Pelodiscus sinensis: one gene and its partner. The protein of the gene in region 1 purifies or fractionates together with the protein of each later gene. This does not show direct contact. Links are inferred from orthologs where the notes say so. Each region holds a gene or a part of one and is shown in the gene's direction. Other genes may lie near its edges.

Region 1 (12,144 bases):
GGCGGCTCCTGCACGGAGCCGTGAGCACGGGCGTGTTCACCCCCATCCCAGACACCTGCCCCTTCTGCGGCGTGAGGGAGAACCTGGCGCACGCCTACCTCGAATGCGCCAGGGTGCAGCCCCTATTCCGGCTCCTCCAGAACCTCTTATTGAGGTTCTGGCTGCACTTTTCCCCTCACCTTTTTGTCTATGCACACCCAATCCGTGGCCCCACAAAGTCGCGAGACCTCCTCGTCAACCTGCTCCTGGCCTGGCAAAGACCGCTATCTATAACACCAGGAGCAGGATGCTGGACGAGGGGTTCTCTGCGACTGTGGGGCCTATTTCCGTTCCTCCCTGGTTTCACGTATCCGGGCAGAGCTCCTCTGGGCGGCGTCCACTGGCTCCTTCGACAGCTTTGAGGAGCAGTGGGCGCTGTCCGGGGTTCTCTGCTCGCTGTCCCCATCCGGTTCCCTAGTTATAAACCTTTAGCCCGCACGCCTTGCCCTTTTTGTCATTATTTGTCCCCAGGAATTAGTTGAGCACGGGTCCAGTCGTCCCTCCCGCAAGGCTGGGGGAGGGGCTTTTAGAAAGCCCGCCCACTCTCCCGTGTCCTCAAATAGACCCAGTGGGGGGCTGTGACAGCCCCCAGAGAAGGGGGCTCCCGGCACCTCGGTGCTAATGAAAGAGTCGAGTCCTGCACTGAATTAGGGACAGGTTTCAGGGACCCTCACCCGGTGCTGAGATGCAGCTGCCTCTGGGGGGGTGCAGGGGCTGCTTACACAGGGACCCCTCACTCAGCGCTGAGATGCAGCTGCCTCTGGGGGGGTGCAGGGGCTGCTTACACAGGGACCCCTCACTCAGCGCTGAGATGCAGCTGCCTCTGGGGGGGGTGCAGGGGCTGCTTACACAGGGACCCCTCACTCAGCGCTGAGATGCAGCTGCCTCTGGGGGGGTGCAGGGGCTGCTTACACAGGGACCCCTCACCCGGCGCTGAGATGCAGCTGCCTCTGGGGGGGGGGCGCAGGGGCTGCTTACACAGGGACCCCTCACCCGGCGCTGAGATGCAGCTGCCTCTGGGGGGGGCGCAGGGGCTGCTTACACAGGGACCCCTCACCCGGCGCTGAGATGCAGCTGCCTCTGGGGGGGTGCAGGGGCTGCTTACACAGGGACCCCTCACCCGGCGCTGAGATGCAGCTGCCTCTGGGGGGGTGCAGGGGCTGCTTACACAGGGACCCCTCACCCGGCGCTGAGATGCAGCTGCCTCTGGGGGGGTGCAGGGGCTGCTTACACAGGGACCCCTCACCCGGCGCTGAGATGCAGCTGCCTCTGGGGGGGTGCAGGGGCTGCTTACACAGGGACCCCTCACCCGGCACTGAGATGCAGCCTCCTTTGGAATGAAGTGAAGCAGTTATTTAAAAGATGCAGCAACATCACACTGCTGGTTGGGACCGAAAGCGGAAGAGGGGCCATATCCCAGCTCACAATCCCCTCTGCTTTTGTATCTCCCCACACACAGCTCTGCCCGTGCCCCTCACTCCTGACCCGCAGTCCCCTGCCAGCCCAGCCCTGGGTTCCCCCAGACCTGGTGGTGCCCCTCACTCCCAACCTGCAGCCCCTGCTATCCTGACCCTGGGTTCCTTGGCAAACATGAGGGGCAGGGTGTGGGGCTGGTAATGTCGCTCGCTTTTCCCCACTGCCACTGCCCCAGTCTGAACCCAGCGCGGGCCCCCTGCCCTGGCCAATGTGTCTCCCCTTCCCCCTCTCCCATGCCCTCTCCTGCCTGTTTACCTGCCTTTGGCTTCATCTCTCCCCAAAGGCTCCTGTTACCTGCTGGTTCCCCGGTGCCCCGGCCGTTGTCAGGAGAACGCTTGATCCGGCCGCTGGTTTTGGGATTAAGGCACCAGAGCAAGCACAAAAGAGCCAGCGAGCCGAGGGGCCACAATTAACTAATTACCTGCTCGGCCTTTAATCCCCGGCGGGGAGCGCGTAACCCAATCGCACCCCCTTATACAACGAGGCTCCTGAGGGACTGGCTGAGCCAGGCACGACCACCCACCCCCAGCACCTCAGCCCCTCCGCAGGGAGACGAGACCGTGGAGCGCAGCAGGCTCCTTAATCCAGCAGATAAAGGCAGAGCAAGATTGGAGGCTGGGAGCTGAAACGAGAGACAGTCAGGCTAGAAATCAAGTGCCAATTTTTCAAAAGGAGGGGAATTAACCATTGGACTGAACCCAGAATTCCTGGCTTCCAGCCCCCCTGCTCTAACCACTGGGCCTCACTCCCCTCCCAGAGCTGGGAATAGAACTCAGGAGTCCCGGTACCTAGTCCTGCTGCTCTAACCACTGGGACTCACTCCCCTCCCAGAGCTGGGAATAGAACTCAGGAGTCCTGGTACCTAGCCCTGCTGCTCTAACCACTAGACTCCCCTCCCAGTAAAACTCAGGAGTCCTGAACAGTGGGCTGGCAGCAAACAGCCTCTCAATTTTGGGGATGGATTGAATTCAGACGGGCTAAGCGAACTGCAAAGAAATGGGAAGGGGAGGATGGGGGGTGGAAGGAAGTGAAGTGGAAGGGGGCTGAGTGATGGCAAAGTGAGTGAGCATTGCCAGCAGATCTAGGGGAGCGATTATTCCCTTTTATTTGGCACTGGGGAGCCCACATCTGGAGTATTGCGGCCAATTCTGGGGGGCCCCGTACAGAAAGGACGTGGACGCATTGGAGAGAGTCCAGTGAAGGGTGACAAAAATGATTCGGGGGCTGGAGCACTTGACCTATGAGGAGAGGCGGAGGGACTGGGGCTTGTTTAGTCTGCAGAAGAGAAGAGTGAGGGGGGATTTGAGAGCAGCCTTCAACTTCCTGCAGGGAGGTACCAAAGAGGATGGAGAGAGGCTGTTCTCTGTGGTGGCAGATGGCAGAACAGGGAGCCATGGTCTCTAGTTGCAGGGAGGGCATGAGGGGTCGAGGTTGGATATTAGGGGAAACTATTTCTGTAGGAGGGTGGGGAAGAACTGGGGTGGGTTCCCTAGGGAGGGGGTGGAGTCTCCATCCCTAGAGGTGTTTAAGTCTCGGCTTGACAAAGCCCTGGCTGGGATAATTGGGTCGGCGTTGGTCCAGCTTTGGGCAGGTGTCTGGACTCGATGACTCCTGACGTCTCTGCCCACCCTAGGAGTCTGTGATTCTATGAATGGTGACATAAGGCGTAACACGGTAAAACAAAATAAAATCTCCCTTACGGCGCCATTTTTGTCACCTCTCAGCAGCCCATGCCCCAGTGACTCACCCTCACTAAAGACACAGCCTACTGAAAGATCACCACCTCGCACGAGAGATACTCTCTCTGCTGGAGACGCAACATCCTTATGACGAACTATGCAAGAAGATCGGATGGGGCGACGGAAGAACAGCTGACCTCAAGGGAACATACTCTCGCTTACATTCCTCAATCCACCCGACCAATCGGTCCATCTCGGCAGGAGAAGTTTGGCTATACTGATGACCCATGCACTGCTGCCCAGGCCAAAGATCCAGGCTGAAGTTGTGTTACCAGTAGCGCAATCCAGGGTCTCAATCGGTTACACCAAGAACCGGCTGCGTGCCAGCCCAGACAGAACACAAGTGAATCTCTTCCCTCAGTGCAGTTATGAGGCTGGAAGCCAAATTGACATCTGGAATGAGGTACCCCTTGCCCGGTGCGGGGTTCCTGCCTGTTTCGGAGTGATGCCTGCCTGTACTCTCTTTTGAGGTCCACATGTAGGGTTGCCCGGTGACCAGTTTTGTACCGAACAGTCCAGTATTTGAGCTTTCTGTTCGGGAAAAAAATTGAGAAACTATAATTGAGTAACTAGAACTGTCCAGTATTTTCTCAATCAGACGTGATGTAGATTGTGATGTAATGTCAAGTGTGTCCAATATTTTTGTTGAAACCATCTGGCAACCCTACCCACATGGAGAAAGTGAAAGGCAAAGCTAAGTGCCTTGGACTTCAGGGCTCTATTCCCAGCTCTGGTAGCGGAGTGTAGGGTTACCAGATGGGTTTCAAAAAAATACCAGACACGTGATCTCAGAATGGGAGGGGGAGGGCGACCGGCCGGGAGGGGAGTGGGGCTGGCTGGGGGAGATCAGAGAAGGAACCGGCCGGCGGAAAGCAGGGCTTGCTGGGAGGGGGTTGGAGGGAGCAGGGCTGGCTTGGGGAGAACCAGCCAGTGGGGAGTGGGGCTGCCCCGGGCGCACGCAGATCCTGTGGTGCTGCCCATCCCGCGCATGGTCCCGGCGCGGCACACGGGTAAGTCTGGCCCCAGGGATTCCATCCCACCCTGGCTCCACCCTCCCCTCCCCCCACTGTGTAGTTGTGTACTGCCTGGCTGGTCGACGCGCTCACGCAGCGTGACTCACGCAGTGCGAGTGTGTCGACCAGCCAGGCAGTACGCAGCTACGTACTGATACTCATTATAACAATAAAACGTAGGTAATTAGAAAATACCCAACATTTCTATGTCCGGTATTTTCTCAATTTGTTTCCCAGACAGAAAGTTCAAATACCAGACTGTCCGGTTCAAAACCGGACACCTGGCAACCCTAGGGTAGTGGGGTCTAGTGGGTTAGAGCAGGGAGGCTAGAAGCTAGGAATTCTGGGTTCTGTCCATGGTGTCTGGTTTTGAACCAGACAGTCCAGTATTTGAGCTTTCTGTTTGGGAAACAAATTGAGAAAATAGAAATGTCCAGTATTTTCTCAGTAAGACAAATGTAGATTGTGATGTCATGTCAAGTATGTCCAGTATTTTTGTTGAAACCATCTGGCAACCCTATCTGTCCAACGCTTAACACACTAGGAGTGAACCAATTCAACTTGGGGAACCAGCCCAGCTCCAAACTGTCACGCCTGCACTTGGCTATTTGATGGCTGAATACACCTGTCTGGTGTGAGCAAAACTGGCCCATGCAGAGAAACAGGACCCGGCATTGCATGACAGCTTCCTCTACCTCCCGGGATGTCTATACCCCACCACAGCTTTTCCGCGCTTGCTGGAATCGCTCGCCCCGATATCGGCAGAGAGGTTGCAAGCAATATGGAACAATGACGACAGGTTGAAGATACTGGACATCAGCAGACATGGCTTTGGTTTGGATTGGCTAAAGTCTGTTCAAATGTGTTTATATGCCCAATAGGATGTACCATTAAGAAAACGGCCTGGTATAAATTTACTTGAACTTCACGCTAAGTTGGCTCGACCTCGACAGGAGTTGTGCTCCAGACACAGGCAAAGGGGGGCATATTTGGGTGGGCATATGGCTAAGTGGGTGGGCCCTGGCTAGGGTTGCCAGGTGTCCAGTATTGAACCGGACAGTTCGGTAGGCGATTCTTAAAGGGGCCACGCGCTTGCTTTCTTTCTTTCTTTCTTTCTTTCTTTCTTTCTTTCGTTTTTTGTTGTGTTTGTTTATTTAACAACTCTTGGGTCCTTTTTTTTCGGAATTTTTTTCTGAAACCAGCTGAGGCCCACCCAGGCCAAAATGGGCATCGAACTCCTTTGGGCGGGCGCAGGAGGGGGAGGGTCCGGCGGGGGGGGGTGAAAGGTGTTGGGGGAGGGGAGGCTGCTGCCCCTGGGCGGGGGATGGGCAGATTGTGGGTGGGGTGAGGGTCTAGGGCCAAGGGGATCACTGGGAGGGGGCGGTGGGGTCAGAGGTCAAAGGTCATTGAGGGGAGGCTGAAGATGGGGTCAAAGGGCACAGAGGAGAGGCTCATGTGACCAGGGCTCTCGGGTCAAAGGGCACAGAGGAGAGGCAGGGGTCGGGGTCAAAGGGCAGGTGGGAGCTGTCCCATCCCCAGGCCGGCAGCACCGGGCGACGGACCAAGTTACCCAGCGACCCCCGCGCGGCGCCTTCGCGCGGCCAGAACTACAGGTCCCAGGGGGCTTTGCGGCGCGCGCCTGCGCAGTGCGCACCGCCCGGGCCGCGGGAAGATGGCGGCCGGCAGGGGGCCGCGCGCGACGTGAGGGGTCGCCGGGCGGGATAGCGAGCGGGTGAGGGGGGGGCCGCTGGCCCGGGCGGGGGCGTTGAGAGGGGGAGGGGCTGGCGATGCGGGCGGGCTCGGGAGGGGGGGCTGGCGAGGGGGGGGCCGCTGGCGATGCGGGGGGGGCTGGCGAGGGGGGAGGGGCTGGCGATGGGGGGGGCGAGGGGGGAGGGGCTGGCGATGCGGGGGGGCTCGGGAGGGGGGGCTGGCGAGGGGGGGCTCGGGGGGGGCTGGCGAGGGGGGGGCTGGCGAGGGGGGGGGAGGGGCTGGCGATGCGGGGGGGCTCGGGAGGGGGGGCTGGCGAGGGGGGAGGGGCTGGCGATGTGGGGGGGCTCGGGAGGGGGGGCTGGCGAGGGGGGAGGGGCTGGCGATGCGGGGGGCTCGGGAGGGGGGGCTGGCGAGGGGGGAGGGGCTGGCGATGCGGGGGGGCTCGGGAGGGGGGGCTGGCGAGGGGGGAGGGGCTGGCGATGCGGGGGGCTCGGGAGGGGGGAGGGGCTGGCGATGTGGGGGGGGTTGCTTTGGAGGCTGCAGGGGGCTGGCCCGGAGTGGTGGGATCTGGGGGGTGCAGGACGGGGGCTGGGGGCTGCTTGGCAGTGGGGTGAGCTGGGGTTCCCCTGGGGAAACGGGGTGAGGCCAGGGCGGGGCCTGGGGGGTCTGGCTGGAAGGGGCAGGAGGGGGGCGGGGCTGGGGACCACTCCCAGCAGGGTGCTGACCAGTCGCCTCGTTAGCAGCTGGAGGAGCCAGGCCGAGGGCCACCCGGAGCGGCCGGCGCGGCGCTGCCCTTCCACAGACCCGTTGGCAGGGGCCGTATCCGCGCTCGGGCTCCGGCCCCGTCCCTGCACCCGGAGCCATGGCCAGCGGCACAGGGGATGGCGGCAACGCCCGCTTGAGCATCGCCTCCCAGTTCTTCACCCAGGAGGAGGGCAGCGGCACGGACAGCATGACCACCTCGGAGAGGGTGCGTGGGGAGCAGGCAGGGAAGGCTGGCTCTCATCCGGCCATGTGTCACAGGCCCAGGGGTGGGGAAACGAGATACAGGGTCTTTCCCCTCCGCCGGCTCTGCTCCAGCCCCAGGGCGGGGGAGTACCTGGGACCCAAGTTCAGGAAAAGTTAGTCAGGTCACCTGCCTTGTCAGTTACAGTCCACTTTCCATGTGTATAGTGAAGGTCTAAATGTTGGGGCTACATGATGTGCTCCCCAGTGATCTCCCTGCAGTGCACCGCGTCTTTACAGGCTCTGGCTAGCTCTTGTGAGGCCGCATAGTCTGGGGAGAAGGCACCTGTCTGGGTCTTCACAGACCTGGCTTCCCCCCTGCCCCTGCTCTTCTGGGACCCTTTGGGCAGACCCCTTCCTCTCCCTGGGGCTGGCTCCCCTTCTGCCTGTCTTGTCTGTGCAGCTTTTATCCCAAGGCCACTGACGCTGGGTGGGGATGTGATCCGTTTCCTGGTATATTGCACCGGTGCAACCCTGGCGTGGGCTATTCCCCTCCCCCACGCCAACAGGGTATGGCGGCCTCCACGCTGGAGGGAAACTAGACTGGTGTTGGCAGAGCCCTGGATCGCTGAGGGGGTAGATTGGAAGCCCTTTGGGGCAGGGACTATCTCTTGCGATGTCTGTTCAGCGCCTGGTACAATGGGGCCCTGATCTCAGGGGCTCTAGGCACTACCATAGTGCTAGTGGGATGGGTGTCTGTCACCAGGATAGCCATCGGCATTTGCCATGTACCCCTCCCAAGCTACCGCGGGCCGCCCCCCTGTTCTTGCCAACTGCCCCCTGTCCCCACAGGCCGCCCCTCTGTTCCCACCAGAACTCCTGGCCTGGTTGCCATCTCTGCTTGTGCTGTCCTGTTGTGCTGCGTGAGCAGTTATCTCTGAACTGTCGTGAGCTCTCAGCCTCGCTTGGCCCTTGGGTGTGACCAGTTTGATCGTCTTGGGAGGGATTCCTTAGAGCCAAGCTGCCCTCGAGTGCCCTGGTGCTTCCTCACGGGCTCCTCTCTCTGCAGGTGGTGGATCTGTTAAACCAGGCTGCCTTGATCAGCAATGACTCTAAAATCACCATCCTCAAAAAGGTGAGCAAGAACGCTGCCCCCCCTCCCCGCAGGAATGGGATGACACCAGGCTGGGAGTGGAGGACGCTGGGAAAACAGAACCCACCATATGCCCCTGGCTCACTCCACCCTGCACAGAGCCCCTCATGTCACAGTGGGTGGGTCCGTGGGGCAGGGCACTCCATGGGGGGGTGGGCAGATGGGCAATGGCTGATGCTGCAAAACCTCTCCACTGGTTCAAGACTCACCTGCTGTCCCTGCTTTCCCCATAGGTCCAGGAGCTAATTATAAACAAGGACCCCACGCTGCTGGATAACTTCCTGGATGTGAGTAGCCGTGGGCGTGCCAGGGGCGCCTTTCCTGACTCTCCTTGTGCCCATGCCAAGGGCTGATGCCGTATCACTGGCACTGCCACCCCTTCGCTCAGCAGCCCCCTCCCCATGGCAGCTGAACGAGGCGGAGAATTCCTCTGACTTGCCGAGCAAAGGACACGACAGAACATCAGCTCCCTGCTCAGTGGGCCCACAGCTTGGGGGCTGAGGTGTGGGGGGCTGCCCAAAGCTGGAGCCCCAGATGCCCGTCAAGCCTGGGCAGTGTCCGACGTAGACCCGAGGAGTGTGAATATTCTCACCCGGGCCTAACCTAAAACTTTCCGCAGCCTCCGCCCTGCCTGCGTTTGGGGGCGGCCGAGCTGTGCCTCGTGTTCCCAGCCCCGCTCTGCCCTGCCCCCTCCTCTTGGCCAGCTCTGCTGCCTGCTGGGCAGCTGGGGCCAGCCCTGACCGCCTGCCTCTCCGGCTGCAGGAGATCATCGCCTTCCAGGCGGACAAATCCATCGAGGTGCGCAAGTTTGTCATCGGCTTCATCGAGGAGGCCTGGTAAGGACGGCTTGGCTGCTGCACCCTGGAGCCCCTGGCTGTAACCTCCCTTCCCACCGAGTAGATGGGAGCCTCGTCCAGCCAGCTGCCTCACTCCCCACAGGCTGCAGCAGCTGGGAGCGCTCCCACCCCACTCCCTGCGCTCGCTTATCTCCAGCTAAGGTCCGTGCTGTGAGCAGGCCGGGAGCGGGGCCGGTAGGTTACAGCTGGGCTGTGAAGAGCCAGGACTCCTGGTTCTGTTCCCAGCAGGGGGAGGGGAGTCCAGTGGTTAGGAGCCAGGACTCCTGGGTTCTGTGCCTTGATCTGCCTTTGACTCCCAGTGTGACCATGGCAAGTCGTTCCCCCCCACCCTGCCTCAGTTTCCCTGCCAGTACAAGAGGTAAGGGGTCCATGGAAGCCAGCTGCGCTGTTCCTGGGCTGCTCGCCTCGCCTCGCCTCGCGCTCTCCTCCCTGAGTTTGTCCTCTCCCCCGCCCCAGCAAACGGGACATTGAGCTCCTGCTGAAGCTCATCGCCAACTTGAACATGCTGCTGAAGGACGAGAACGTCAACGTGGTGAAAAAGGCCATCCTCGCCATGACCCAGCTCTACAAGGTGGCTCTGCAGGTGAGCACTCGTCCGCCAGCGCCAGCCGGTGCGGCCCCAGCCTCTCTCAGCAGGGGGCGCTGCAGGAGGAGCTCCCAGCTATTCCAGCCTCTCCCAGCAGGGGGCGCTGCAGGAGGAGCTCCCAGCTATTCCAGCCTCTCCCAGCAGGGGGTGCTGTTGTGGGGGAGGGAGAGAACTCCCAGGTATTCTAGCCTTAGCCAGCATCCCACAGCGCCCCCTGCTGGGAATCTCAGGAGCTATGGGGAGCTCCCCACTGGCCTCTTGCAGCAGGGAGAACTTGCTGTGGGGGAAAATGCTGGTTACTCCAGCCCTGGCCTCTCCCAGCAGGAGGCGCTGCAGGATTGGCTCTGGCAAGAGCTGCTCTCTCTGGAGAGGCTTCAGGGGGGAGCAGGGTGGGGGCACTAGCCGTGGGGGGAGCTCCTGGCTACTCCAGCCGTGGCTGCTCCCACAGCGGAGTGGTCCACACAGGGCAGCCCGCCTTGGTTCTCACCTTTCCCTTCTGGCTCCCGGCAGTGGATGGTGAAGTCCAGAGTCATCAACGACCTGCAGGAGTCCTGCTGGGAGATGGTGTCGGCCATGGCCAGCGACATCATCCTGCTGCTGGACTCGGACAACGACGGCATCCGCACCCACGCCATCAAATTCGTGGAGGGGCTGATCATCACGCTCTCGCCCCGCATGCCCGACTCGGACGTGCCCAAGCACCACAAGAACGACATCAGCCTGGAACGCATCCCCAAGGACCACCCCTACATCAAGCACGGTGAGTGGGGGGGCCCGCGGGGGCTGTCAGCACGTGGCTCTTCCTCCCCCCCCCCCCCCCCCCCGGCCCAAATGCCTTAACCACCCCCCTCGCGCGGCTTGCGGCCTGTGCCGTGACCCCTCCCACTCCTGCCTTGCAGACGCGCTGTGGGAGGAGGGCAAGGGGGCCCTGGAGCAGCTGCTGAAGTTCATGGTGCACCCGGCCATCTCCAGCATCAACCTCACGGCGGCGCTGGGCTCCCTGGCCAGCATCGCCCGCCAGCGGCCCATGTTCATGGCCGAGGTGATCCAGGCCTACGAGACGCTGCACGGTAAGTGCTGCCCCCCGGTTCCACCTCGGGGCCCCACTCCCTGACCAGAGCCGGGGTAGAACCCAGGAGTCCGGCCCCTCAGACTCCTTCCTCGCCCTGCACCCCACTCCCTGCTCGGAGGCGGGGATAGAACCCAGGAGTCCAGCTCCTCAGCCCCCTTCCTCGCCCTGCACCCCACTCCCTGCTCGGAGCCGGGGGTAGAACCCAGGAGTCCAGCTCCTCAGCCTCCTTCCTCGCCCTGCATCCCACTCCCTGCCCGGAGGCGGGGATAGAACCCAGGAGTCCGGCCCCTCAGCCCCCTTCCTTGCCCTGCATCCCACTCCCTGCTCGGAGCAGGGGGTAGAACCCTGGAGTCTGGCCCCTCCGCCCCTCCTGGCCCCTCCGCCCCTCCCTGCCCAGAGCCAGACCCCAGGCTTACCCCCAAGCCTCCCTCTCTACAGCGGGTCCCTTCCGCACACCTGACCCCCTTTCCGTGTCGCCCTCCCCCAGCCAACCTGCCGCCGACCCTGGCCAAGTCCCAGGTGAGCAGCGTGCGCAAGAACCTGAAGCTGCACTTGCTGAGCGTGCTCAAGCACCCCTCGTCCTTCGAGTTCCAGGCGCAGATCACCACGCTGCTGGTGGACCTGGGCACGCAGCAGGCCGAGATCGCCCGCAGCATGCCCAACCTGAAGGAGGCGCGCAAGCGCCCGCGGGACGACACAGATCCCTCCCTCAAGAAGATGAAGATAGGTGAGGGGTGGGGCGGGCCGGGCCTCACGCTGCTGAGAAGCCCCGTTTAGCAGCCACTGCTGCCAGAGGCAGAGGGTCGCTGAGAGCGCCCCGCCGCCCAGTGCAATGAGTTTGGCCCAGCTCTGAGGGCTGTGATTGAAGGAGCAGCTTAGTTACTCCAGCCTCTCCCAGCAGGGGGGCAGTGTGTGTGGGGGAGCTCCCAGCTACTCCAGTTCCAGGCTCTCCCAGAAGGGGGCGCTGTGGGGGGGGGGGCAGAGCTCTCAGCCACTCCAGTCCTAGCCTCTCCCAGCAGGGGGCGCTGTGGGGGGGGCAGAGCTCTCAGCCACTCCAGTCCTAGCCTCTCCCAGCAGGGGGCGCTGTGGGGGGGGCAGAGCTCTCAGCCACTCCAGTCCTAGCCTCTCCCAGCAGGGGGTGCTGTGGGGGGGCAGAGCTCTCAGCCACTCCAGTCCTAGCCTCTCCCAGCAGGGGGTGCTGTGGGGGGGCAGAGCTCTCAGCCACTCCAGTCCTAGCCTCTCCCAGCAGGGGGTGCTGTGGGAACGGGGCAGGAGCGGCCGGGGTGGGGAGCTCCCAGCCTCTCCCAGCAGGGGGCAGTGTGTGTGTGGGAGCTCCCAGCTACTCCAGTCCCAGGCTCTCCCAGAAGGGGGCGCTGTGGGGGGGCAGAGCTCTCAGCCACTGCAGTCCTAGCCTCTCCCAGCAGGGGGTGCTGTGGGGGGGGCAGAGCTCTCAGCCACTCCAGTCCTAGCCTCTCCCAGCAGGGGGCGCTGTGGGGGGGCAGAGCTCTCAGCCACTCCAGTCCTAGCCTCTCCCAGCAGGGGGCGCTGTGGGGA
Region 2 (12,144 bases), on another chromosome or scaffold:
GCCGACTTATTTTTGTTCCTAGATGGATACCTTTATGATTGTGTCTCTTAAAATGCACATTGTTTGCTTGCCTACCCTTGTGATCCAGCTCTCTGCCCTCTGTGTTATCGACCAGGCCCGGACAGCAAATGGTATTAGGGATGATTTAATCATAGAATCACGGAACACTAGAACTGGAAGGGACCTTGAGAGGTCATCGAGTCCAGTCCCCTGCCCTCATGGCAGGACCCAGCACTGTCTAGACCACCCCTGACAGGTGTCTGTCTAAGCTGCTCTTAAATATCTCCAGCAATGGAGATTCCAGAACTTCCCCTGGGCAATTTATTCCAGTGTTTGACCACCCTGACAGGTAGGAAGTTTTTCCTAATGTCCAGTCTAAACCTCCCTGGCTGCAGTTTAAGCCCATTGCTTCTTGTCCTGTCCTCAGAGGCCAAGGAGAACAATTTGTCTCCCTCTTCCTTGAGACACCCTTTTAGATACTTGAAAACCACTATCATGTCTCCTCTCAGTCTTCTCCTTTCCAAACTAAACAAGCCCGATTCTTTCAATCTTTAGTCTTTCCTTCATAGCTCATGTTCTCTAAACCTTTCATCATTCTTGCTGAAACAAAATACAGGACGATATAGCACTTTAAAGACTAACAAGATGGTTTATTAGATGATGAGCTTTCGTGGGCCAGACCCACTTCCTCAGATCAAATTGTGGAAGAAAACTGGCACAACCATATATACCAAAGAGATACAATAAAAAAATGTGACCACATATAAAATTGACAAATCAGATTTTAGAACAGAGGGGGGGTGAGGGAGTCCTGTCTTTTGTTTCAGCAAGACCCGACTAACATGGCTACATCTCTATTACTTTTCATCATTCTTGTTGCTTTTCTCTGGACTTTCTCCTAGGCTATGGCTACACTGGCGCGATCTTGTGCCAGAGATATGCAAATGAGGCTGTGTGGAATATCACCAAGCCTCATTTGCATACCTAATGCGCCACTATTTTTGCAGAAGAGGCTCTTGCACTAGAAGGCTCTGTCTACACTGCCCCTTCTTGTGCAAGAAAAACCCTCTTGCGCAATGCCGCTACATTGATTATTTTCAGGAATAACGGCATTGCGCAAGAGGGTTTTTCTTGTGCAAGAAGGGGCAGTGTAGACAGCTCCTTCTGGCGCAAGAGCCTCTTCTGCAAAAATGGCAGCTCATTAGGTATGCAAATGAGGCTCAGCAATATTCCACGCTTAGCCTCATTTTCATACTTCCAGCGCAACAACCCGCCAGTGTAGACATAGCCCTAATGTTTTCTTCCAGGTCATTAACAAAAGTATTAAATAGTGTAGGGCCAAGAACCAATCCCCACTAGAAACTCCTTTGCTCCATGACGACTCCCTGTGTGTAGTTCCATTATGACACCTGGCCATTAGCCCCATTTTAATCCATGGCTGTGTGCCATGTCCATGCTGTATCATTTTCTAGTTTTAATCATCAAAATGTTGTGCAGTACACAGACAAATGCCTTACCGGAGTCTCATCACAACACGACACCCTTCTCAAATTTGTCATCTCTAAAAAATATCAAGTTAGTTTGACAAGTTCTATGTCCATAAGCCATGTTTATTGGCATTAATCGTATTATCCGCCTTTAATTCTTTGAGTCATGTATTAACTGGTTCATTATCTTCCCCATGAGCAGCCAATATTATCTAGTGTGTCCCATTTACCCTGTTAAATATTGGCACGACATTCCCTTTCTTCCAAAAGCCATGATAAGGGCACGGCTGCTGAGCCAGCTCTTTTAAAACTCTTGGCTGCCTGTTATCCAGATGACCTGATTTAAAATGTCCAGTTTTGGTAGCGGCGGTTTAACATCTCCTGTGTTACTACTCCAGTGGAAAGTGTCAGCATAATCTGGCCTCTGCCATTTGATACTGAGTAGAAATATTATTGATCACTTCTGCCTTGCTGCATTATTATTGATAACTCCCCCTTTCCAGCCAGTAATCTGTGCTAGGAATCCCTTTTGTTCCTGAGAACTTTAAAATCCCCTTTTTATTGCCCTTGCTGGGCACAGATTTCTCCTTTGAGCCAGTCTGTGCCAGTGTGGCATACATTCTGATGAAGCCTTCAGTTCTTGCTTTCCAGCATCTATGTCTCCATTACCTTCTCTCTTCCTCCCCACCCCACACTCCAGCTGATCAGGGTGCAGAGAGCACCTTGAAAACCTGAACCAAGTGAAACTGATGCCTTGAAATCTGCCTAGGGGACAAATCCAGCTCAGAGCTGTGAAGTGCCTTTGGGTCCCTGTGGGCTAGCACCCCTCCCCCCCTAGACACCGAATGTCACCATTGTTGACTACTTCACCAATGGCAAAGGCATGGCAGAAAGGCGAGGAAGGTTGATAACATGAAGATCTGCTTAATCTCCTGTGCATGTCATCTCTGCCACCCTGGGGAAATCAAGGGCAAGAAGCCCAGTGGGATGCGTGGTATCTGCCCAAGACGGGTGTGGGGTCCCGGTGAGGAAGAGCAGAGTGCATGGAGACCAGAGAGCCTGCAGGCAAAACTGTAATTTGAGCATCTGCACAAACTACATGGGCACCATCTCAGGGGCAGAGCTTATTTCAGGGGCAGAGCTTGGAAAGGCACCTCAATTGGCCCGACTGTACCATTCTCCTGACAGACAGGTCTGGCTCATCCTAAGAATGTTTTCCTAAATTGGCTAGCGGCTGTAGCAAAACTAGGAGGACTAGTGTGCCAATGGCCTTTTCAGCCTCATGTTCCACAGCTCTGCACCTGGGCCTATTGAATGCCTGCCTATGCTGTTCTTGATATTGCTACCACCTGCGTTAGCAGCCCGGGGACACTTTAAAGCAGCCACTGTCCTTACAATCGGAATGGCTTGTATCAGGCATCTCCATTTGGCCCAGACAGACACAAATATTTCCATCACACCAGACAAGAATAATCAGTTAATTAACACAGCCAATGCACAAACACACCAGAGCACGGTCTTATAACCTGGGCTCTCTCCTCCTGCAGAGTTATGAAGGCTGTGCCAGATTCTCAGCTGCTGTGAATTAGCATTAGCTCCAGTGATGTCGATTCCAGCTGAGATCCAGATCCTCGGAGTAATTTGATGCACGATTACCCCCAATGGGCTTGTTCAGCTACTTTTGTGCGTCAGGCCAGGGGGAGGGGAGAGAGAGAGAAGTCAATGCTTGCAGAGAGACACAGGCTGGGTTTTGAACACTGAACAGGTCATTTTCCCTGAAACTTAAAAATAGGTCTACAGGACACCCCCCTGTTGGAACACCTACATCGCTCAGCCATGTGAAACCCCCCCTGTCCTGCCAGCCCTGAGCAGCAGTTTTACTGACTCCACCGGTGTAGCAGTGCTACCTGCACATGACGACTGCTGCCACCCACGGTTGCGACTGATTCTGTGGACTGAAGCTCTCCCATTGCACAACAGCAGCTCACTAAAGTGCTACAGACACACATGAAAAAACCAGCCCTGTAGTCACTGAGGGCTGAGTCCGGCTTGGGGGCCTCTGGCCCCTGTCCGCTCAGTGCTGCTAAAGAGAAGAGCAGCTCCCTGCAATGAGGCTGGAGGGCTGTTGTCAAAACGGCCCGTGGCCTGAAAACCACGTGTGGATTTCTAAGGGCAGCATGCACATTGCCAGCAGCCAGTGCCTCGCTCAGCCATGCATCTGGCTGCTCCCATAGCCCAACCCCAGGGGGACTGGATCAGAGAAGGTCATGCTTGGAGACACGTGCCCAGCTCTAACCACTAGACCCCACTCCCCACCTGCAGGGGAGGGGGGACAAGCACAGAGCTGGCCTCCCCCACTCTAACCACTACACCCCCCTCCCGCAGGGGAAGGCAGCAAGCACAGAACCCAGGCCTCATTACTCTAACCACTAGACCCCACTCCCCACCTGCAGGGGGGCCAAGCACAGACCTAGGCTCCCCCCTCACTCTAACCACTAGACCCTCCCCCCTCCCGCAGGGGGAGGCAGCAAGCACAGAACCCAGGCCTCATTACTCTAACCACTAGACCCCACTCCCCACCTGGGGGGGGGGGGGGGGGGGGGGGGGGGGGGGGGGCGCGAGCACCAGCCCCTCGTGCCGGGCCAGGCGCCGCGCAGCAGCCCGAGCACGCGGCGCGCCCTTTAACAGCCTTAGGGAGCGTCTGCAAAGAGCGCGGGGCCGGGAGGGCGCAGCGGGCGCGGCGGGGTGGGCGGGGCGGCCGGCCCCGCCCTTTGGCGACGCCCCCTGGCCCCGGGCGGCGGGCGGCTATAAAAGCCTGCGGGGCGCCGCGCCGCCCGTTGCTGCTGGTGCGAGCCCGACCCGCTGCGCCCACCGGCCCCATGGCCTTCCCCCTGGTGAGTGCGCCGGGCGGGGCGGGGCCGGCGGCACGTGTCGGGCGCTGCGGGACCGCGTGCTGGCCCGGGCGGGGGCGGGGCGCGAGGCGCCTCGTGACGGGGGGGGCGCTGCCGGACCCGCCGCGCGGGGCTCGCGCTCGGCCGCGCGCCTCCCTCCGACCCCCCCCTCGCGCGCGGCCGGCAGGTGCTGGCGGGCGGGGCCGCGGGACGCTCGGCCCCTTTCAGGCGGGTCCCCGCAGCGCCCGCCGGCCGGGCCGCCCCTCACGCGGCTTCGCACGTTCCCGAGCCGCCGGCTCCGCGCCCCGGCCGCCAGGTGAGGGGGGGCCCCGGCGAGCGTCCGGGCTGCTGCCCTGAGGCGGGGGGGGGGCAGCGCGTGTCGGTCCCGCCCTGGCCCCGGGGTGGGCGGGCCCCCCCTTGGCACAGCCCCCCCTTTCCGCTGGGCCCCCGCGCCAGGCCGCTCTGCATGGCCATTGGGGCAGCTGCCCCGGGGCCCCTAAAGCCGCGTTGCGGGGGGGCCTGGCAGCAGCTCCCCGCCCTGGGCCCCTGCACGTCTGGGTCTTGCTGCCTGGCTCCTGGCTGGGAGGCACTAGCTCAGCCTTGCACTGGTGCGCAGGGTCCCGGTGTCCCGCCTGTGCCCGTGCCAGCGATGGCGTGTGGGGCAGATAGAGGCTGCTCATCTTCCCGGCTCTTGTCTCCAGCACGGAGTTTGTGCAGGTGGGCCAAAAGCAGTTGAAGGCTGAGTTGTGATTGGCTGCTTAACTGGCAGTGGGGTAGGGAAGTGGCTAGGTGGCATGAAAATGTCCCCTACTTGTGACCTTCCTTAGGTGCTGCTTCAGTAAACTGCCCATTTCTGATCCCCACGCTACTGATGAGGCATGAAATGCCTAACAACCTTGAGAATTAAATTATCATTTCGTGTCTGGTTTAACCCCCTCGTTGTGATGAATGGGGCTCTTCAGACCTCTGGTGGCTATTGTTGCAGTCTGCCTGAAGAACTGTGCAGATGTTTCTACAGCTGTTATACTTGCTTTTTGATGCTTTGCTTGCAACCATCACATCTAGCCATGCCCAGCAACAGCTAGGGAGCAGCTTCAGTGATGTGCCAGTGTGCTGTACTGCTGCGAACTGAATCCTAACTTGTCGGCGCTCCTCTGCTTTGGTGAATGGTGCTGCAGAGGAACCACAGGTGTCCGTGATCCCCAGCACTTGTACCTATGCTGCACACAGGAACTTGCCAGCCATTTTTCAGCTACCTGATTGCTGCCTAGTTGTCTGTGGTGATGCAATATAGCACTCTAATTATAGCACTGCTTATTTGTATTAGATAAGGTGGATAACTTAAGGCATTAGATGACACTGGGAGTTTTGTCTGAAGTGGCTGTAATGCCATAATGCAGCGTTTAACAATAGCAGAGGGTGTTATCTTTCCCTAGAGAAGAACACTGAGTTAGTAGTGATAGTCCATAATGGGATGGGTCAGATGCCTGCTGCAGCAGCTGGAGAGACTCTCAGACTAGGACAAATAAATGTCTTTTTACATCCCAACTAGCTACCCTCTCTTGGGGAGGTGGATTGCCTGCCCTATGCCAATAGATGGGTTTAGGCTGGCGCAGCTGTAATGCTTTAGGCGCAAACAAGCCCCTGGCTGTGAAGGAATATCTTCCATTTCTGTAGGAAGTACCAGCACTACGGTGCACAGTGCTGTAGCTGTCCTGCTGTCGTGTCTGCTGGGTAGTTAGGGCTGGAAGCGCTGGAGGGGAGCTTCAGAGGCCTCAACTTGACTTGGTTCCAGTGGGTGTCCGCTCTTAGAACTACTTCCTCTTTGCTACCACCGCTGGGGGCTACCCTACCAAATCAGGCCGATATAGCAGTGTTGCACAGGGGTGTCTTTGAAACTGTCGTCCTTGAGATGTGGTCAAGATGACCTGGTGTAGACCTTGCTGGGCTGAAAAGTGTTCTTCTATCAACCAGTTGCTGCCTCTGAGGGAACTTTAAGGCTGTAATAAGCATCTATGCTGCAGTGAAATAGCTACTACCGTGGCATTTCCTGAGCCAGTGGTTCTCAACTGGGGGTATGCAGAGATCTTTCAGGAGGTAGTTTAATAAAGAGAAATGCAAAGTGCTCCACTTAGGAAGGAACAATCAGTTCCATACATACAAGATGGGAAGCGACAGTTTAGGAAGGAGCATGGCGGAAAGGGATCTAGGGGTCATAGTGGACCACAAGTTGAATATGAGTCAACAGTGTGGTGCTGCTGCAAAAAAAGCAAATATGATTCTAGGTTGTATCAACAGGTGTGTTGTAAGCAAAACTCGTGAAGTCATTCTGCTGCTCTATTCTGCACTAGTTAGGCCTCAGCTGGAGTACTGTGTCCAGTTCTGGGCGCCACATTTCAAGAAAGATGTGGAGAAATTGGAAAGGGTACAGAGAAGAGCGACAAGAATGATTAAAGGTCTAGAGAACATGACCTATGAAGCCAGGCTTCATGAACTGGGCTTGTTTAGTTTGGAAAAAAGAAGATTAAGGGGGGACATGATAGCGGTTTTCAAATATCTAAAAGGGTGTCACAAGGAGGAAGGAGAAAATTTGTTCCTCTTGGTTTCTGAGGACAGGACAAGGAGTAATGGGCTTAAAGTGCAGCAAGGGAGGTTTAAATTGGACATTAGGAAAAAATTCCTAACTGTCAGGGTGGTCAAATATTGGAATAAATTGCCAAGGGAGGTGGTGGAATCTCCCTCTCTGGAGATATTTAAGAACAGGTTAGATAGACATCTGTCAGGGATGGTGTAGACAGAGCTTGGTCCTGCCTTGAGGGCGGGGGGCTAGATTCGATGACCTCTCGAGGTCCCTTCCAGTCCTATGATTCTATTAAATGTTTAGCTATATGCCTCATTTTACCTCAGGCTACATAAAAAGCATGGGCAAGGTAAGTGCAAACTTGAATTTCATACAGCCAGTGACTTGTTTATATTGATTTGTATGCTGTGATATTTTTGTCTCGCTTTTAAAAGTAAGCAGCTCTTACGTGAGGTGAGACTTGGGGTATACAAGACAAATCAGACTCCTGAAAGGGGACCAATAATTTGGAAAGGTCAAGACACTGCCCTGAGGTATCCTGGCCATGATCTCTCCTGTGGCTGCTTTCAACTTCAGCTTCTTCCTAGATTTCTCTTAAATTAGTAACATTGGACAAATTTGTTTCCTTTTCCTGATCTGTTCTGCTCCTCATCACAACTTACCAAACCTGTTTCCTTGCATCTGGCTCTCTTTGAAGCCACCTAGCACCTCCTTGCACTTCCTTTCAAAGTGGCCTGTAGTCTAAGGGTTCTTCCTTAGGTATCTTAGATACCTGTATCAAGGAAATCCTAGGTCTCAAAAATCCTGAGGAATGTTAAATGCCAATTATTGTAAGTTTCCATCAAACAAAACATGCAGATTTGTTATGCCCAACTAGCTGTGAGGTTGGATTGAACCTGGCTTAGAGGCGGTCTTCCAGAGCTGCTGTGGATAGGCAGTTCTAGTCTCCCCCAATCAGTAATGGTCAGAGGGGTTCAGCATCTTGCTAGCTGTCTACCGTGGCTTCTTGGCTAACAGACAAGATTGAACTGTGCAATAAGTGCATCCTGATGCTGACAGAAGTCTCTTCTGGCCTATCTCTGCTGTCCTAGGAAATGGCATTGAGCACTTGGTTAGAGCAACTGAAAATGGGTGTCAAATGAAAGAGCAAGTTTGTGCTTGGGTGTGAATGTAGAATTTCAAGCCTGCTCAATCCCATAACAGGTATGGGAATTGTTCATAGAGATCAAGGGTGGAGTCTGGTCTTCATGGAATAATTGAACTTGGTTAGTATTTACTATCCTGCTTAACTAGTAGGGAAGTTCCTTCCACTATCCTGCTCTTCAGCCACTTTTTATTGCAGTCCCTTTTCTCTCTCCACCCTCCTGTGTGCCTCTTTGCCCTCTAGTCTGTTGCTGCCTTGCAGCAATTCCCAGTCCTTGGTCTCCAGGGCTTCTGCCCCACCCTTCTCCATTCTAGCTGCTAAGAGGTGAAAGGGGGAACCACCTAGAGGCCATTCTGTGAAGAGAGGGGTGATCAGGAAACAGAGCACTGTGGACAGGTCTGCCCTTCTGCAGCGCAGCTGTGTCTAGGCAGCATTACCTGAAGACTGCCCTAGGCAGGTGCTTGATCAGCCTCCGGCAGAGGTGGCTGGAGAAGCTCTCCTGTGGACAGAGCACTTGCTGCTCGGGGGGGGGGGGGGGGGCTGTGGCTCAGGGCTGTGGACTTGTCATCCCACCAAGCAGTGTAATTCTACAGCTATAGGGCTGCAGTGGACCACGCTTAGGTGACTTAGACATGTTACTGGAGCTGTGGAAATGAGGGATGTAAAATCCTGTCTAATTAACCAGTTAAATGTTAAGTTTAACTGGCAGGGGTGGGCAGCAGGCTCCAGTGGTCCCTGCGCCACAGGCAGGGGCTGCTCCAGAATGGCTGTTTCTGACCCCATGCTGAGCAGCCAGCTCCCAGCTTGCAAGGGCTGGGAGTCTGCCCCACAGGAAGTGGCCTCGTACTTGGCTGCCAGCTCCCAGCCTGCGTGAGCTGGGAGCCGGCAGCCCTGTGGGGCTGGAGCAGCCTCCTGCCTGCTCCCCGGTAACACTAACTGTTACCCATTCACATCCTTAATGGAAACTTTCATGACATTTGAGTGCAGGGGGAGTGAACTGGGTCAGACTGCTGCTTACTGACTCTAACTAGGTTAACAGGGTCAGTATTAATTGCCTGTTGCAGGGCTGGTCACTTGATCGTGCACTTGACTCCCTTCCTTTGGCAAGAATTAACTTGAGACCAGAGCAGCTGAAGCCAGTATGGCTCTTCCTTCTGTCTGTGCACTAGCATGACAATATTGATGCTGTCAGGAATGTGCTGTGCACATCATTCCACAACGTGTATAGCTGTGGCCTTGCTTGCGGGTGCTAACGAGCCTGGGTTGCTAAAAGAGGCCTTAACACACACAGCACTGGGTAGCACCAAAATGGCAGAAGCTGGTATTGGAGCTGGCATCCATAAAACCATCATTTGGTTATTGAGGTTCATATCTCTCGCACCTGAGCAGGTATCTGGTTCTCTTTAATCTGTTCCCTTAATAGGGTCTCAGCAATTGTTCTCAGTGGGGACTTGGTTTGATGGATTTCAATGCTACAGTGCCAGATCCTGCAGGAATTGAATTACAAGCTCTGTTGGGAGGAAGATGGTGCTTTTGTAGTCATGACGATTGTATGTGAGGCTCCATTTAAACACCTTAAAGTTTGTGGTAGGAATTCAAGGAGGCTAAAGGAAAACTCTTAAGGAGTGCCTTTTGTGTGTGTCAGTTTTCTGTCATAGTGCAGTGTCTGCAGAGAATCCCCATAATAAGACTGAGTACTCTTCTCAGCTGGTCAGGGCTAAAGTTGTGTTCCAATCTTGTAGTTTCAACACTGAGCTAGAACCCCAGGGGAAGTGAAGCTGGCAGTCTGATTGGAAACACTTTCTTCCATAACCTCATTGGGGATTTGGCTGAACTTGCTCTGGTTCCCTTGAAAAATACGGCAGCATTAAGGGCTGAATAGTTTTACCCCTCCACACCTTCAAAACTGTACACTGCTCTGTCACCTACCCATCTGAATGACAAGGCTGGAAAAGTTGTTGGTGATTGGAGGAAGGTCTTGTTAGATGAACACTAGTGTCTAGGTCCCCTGGTTATGTAACACCGAAATGAGAATAGTTCTCTCAACGACTAAATGTTGTCTTGCTGCTTGCTCCCTGACATTCTGCATCTGAAAACAGCCTGGTGCCAGTCAGAACTGTGCACAGGATAGTCCATTTTGCAAAGGACTCTGAGAGCTTGGTATTTTGTAGTGTTCTAATTTACAAAGCTGAGAAATTCTCAAGAAAAATCTGGAAACAGCACTTTGGGCTGATCAAAATGTTTTGTTCTGATGTGCCGTTTTGGTTGTCAGTCTTAGGGTTTGACTTTTTATTAACGCAATACAAAATTCCAAAGCAAATGGTTTCAAAACAAAGCCATAACACTTTGCTCTAAAAATAGCAAATGGGATGTTTTGACATCAGAACGCTTTCCATTTTTTCTAAGCAAAACTTTGGTGAAATGAAGACTTGCATGAAGCAATTCAATGCTTAAGCTGTGTTCTGGCAGAAAATGCTTCTGAAGTTGTCCTGACCAGCTGTTGGCAGCCAAAGCACTTTCTAGAGGCCTGTCGACACTAGATTGCAAGATTTCTATCACCAGTTTGGTTCCTCTCACATAAGACACCTGGCATCTCAGTGCTCCTGTGTGGCATTGGACAAGCCCGAAGATGTGTCCTATACTAACATTTTTTGCTGGCTAGGACTGGATTTGGAGGCAGGTGACTGTCTGGGGTACCGGGCTTGACGGGTACTGGGTTTGAGGTGCTTCTTATTGTTGGTGACAAGGGGAAAATCAATGTGTGAAGTAAGATGTTTTGCTTATTCGAGAAGTGGATGCGTTTTCTTCAGATCTCCTTGTGTGTTGTTCTCCGTGCCCTTGTCCGTTTAAAAGGGGCATCTCTGCTGCTGCTTCAGTTCGTGAGGGCAAAGATGAGACGTTATCTTTGGACTGAAGGACTAGGATTAACACTTGAATCCTACTTCAGCACTAATAGTGGTCCCCCTATGGTTGGTGTACAGATCAGTTTCTTGATGATACATTTCAGTTGCTCTAAAAACAGGTTTGGAGGTAGCCATTTTTCATAGCCATTGAAGACCCAGCTAAATCATATTTACATATCTAGCATGCAAATTTGTCCTGTATGAGAGAAATCACGGGTGCAGATTGTGCGTCAGCCATGAAATGGGGGCTACCTATGGAATACAAAATAAGGTATTGAAAATTTTAACAAATGGTGTGTGTGGGGGGGGGGGGGGAACACTCCTTGCCTTGGCACCATTAGGTTTAGAGCCATCTCTGAGTGCAGCTAAAGCAGCAAACGGCTTGTGTGCATGCAGCTACCCCAGTATAAGAGTGTGTGTGTGACACAGCTTATTCCAGCTGGGGAAGGGAAATCAGCTGTATCAGTGAAAGGCATCTGCACCTAAAACATCGCACCCTTACTTACACTGGCATAGCTCTTGCATTGTAAATTAGGTGTTGGATTCTGAAACAGGGCTTACGCTGCCGGCTCATCCAGAGGAGTTCTCCACGGCACAGCAATGATGGCGCTGAATCCCGGTTAGCTCCAGTGGGAACTTGCTACAAAATGTTTATTTAGTAGAAAAGGATTAACCGCTTGCTTGGTAAGTGGGAACAAACACCACTGTTTTCTAGACCAGGTAGGGACCTAATCTAGAACCTGGTTTTGCCTAGGCTACCCTGTGGGACTGCACCATGTTTAAACCGTTTCTTTACACTGTTCAAATCCCACTAAAACTTCATGTTGAAATCTAAATAAACAATTGTGCTAACAAGCTTAGATGGAGCTGGCTCCAGGGGCCCAGAGTGCTTAAAGTGCAGCATGAGCTGCGCTACTGAGAAGTACCCCTAAACATCAGCATATTGCAGCCCTGAGACCCTCTCATGTGAAGGGTGCACAGAAAAATACAGCAGTGGATTTTGTGAGTTCTTACTCCTGTATCCACATCACTTCTGAAGCCTCACAGCTGGTGAAGTGATAACTCCCTTTGGTCATGGCAGACTCATGCTGGGCCTCACTTCTGGTTTGTTGGTTCATGTCTTCAGACAAAGCTTCTG

The links.
Region 2: the proteins of SYMPK (region 1) and CPEB1 purify together in Homo sapiens (affinity purification with mass spectrometry; 3 studies listed by BioGRID and IntAct, counting the BioPlex papers as one, with this or other methods). This does not show direct contact. The link is inferred for Pelodiscus sinensis from reciprocal best matches to the Homo sapiens genes SYMPK and CPEB1.

What each region holds. Positions count from the first base shown.
Region 1 is NW_027465849.1:6,377,310-6,389,453, reverse strand, and holds the start of SYMPK (symplekin), read left to right. Parts: upstream 1-5,852; 5' UTR 5,853-5,999; intron 6,000-6,717; exon of another isoform or gene 6,718-6,720; 5' UTR 6,721-6,839; coding exon 6,840-6,947; intron 6,948-7,991; coding exon 7,992-8,057; intron 8,058-8,308; coding exon 8,309-8,362; intron 8,363-8,837; coding exon 8,838-8,911; intron 8,912-9,388; coding exon 9,389-9,515; intron 9,516-10,028; coding exon 10,029-10,278; intron 10,279-10,417; coding exon 10,418-10,588; intron 10,589-11,077; coding exon 11,078-11,317; intron 11,318-12,144. UniProt on the Homo sapiens protein: Scaffold protein that functions as a component of a multimolecular complex involved in histone mRNA 3'-end processing. Specific component of the tight junction (TJ) plaque, but might not be an exclusively junctional component. May have a house-keeping rule.
Region 2 is NC_134724.1:36,949,190-36,961,333, reverse strand, and holds the start of CPEB1 (cytoplasmic polyadenylation element-binding protein 1), read left to right. Parts: upstream 1-4,252; 5' UTR 4,253-4,366; coding exon 4,367-4,381; intron 4,382-4,561; exon of another isoform or gene 4,562-4,694; intron 4,695-12,144.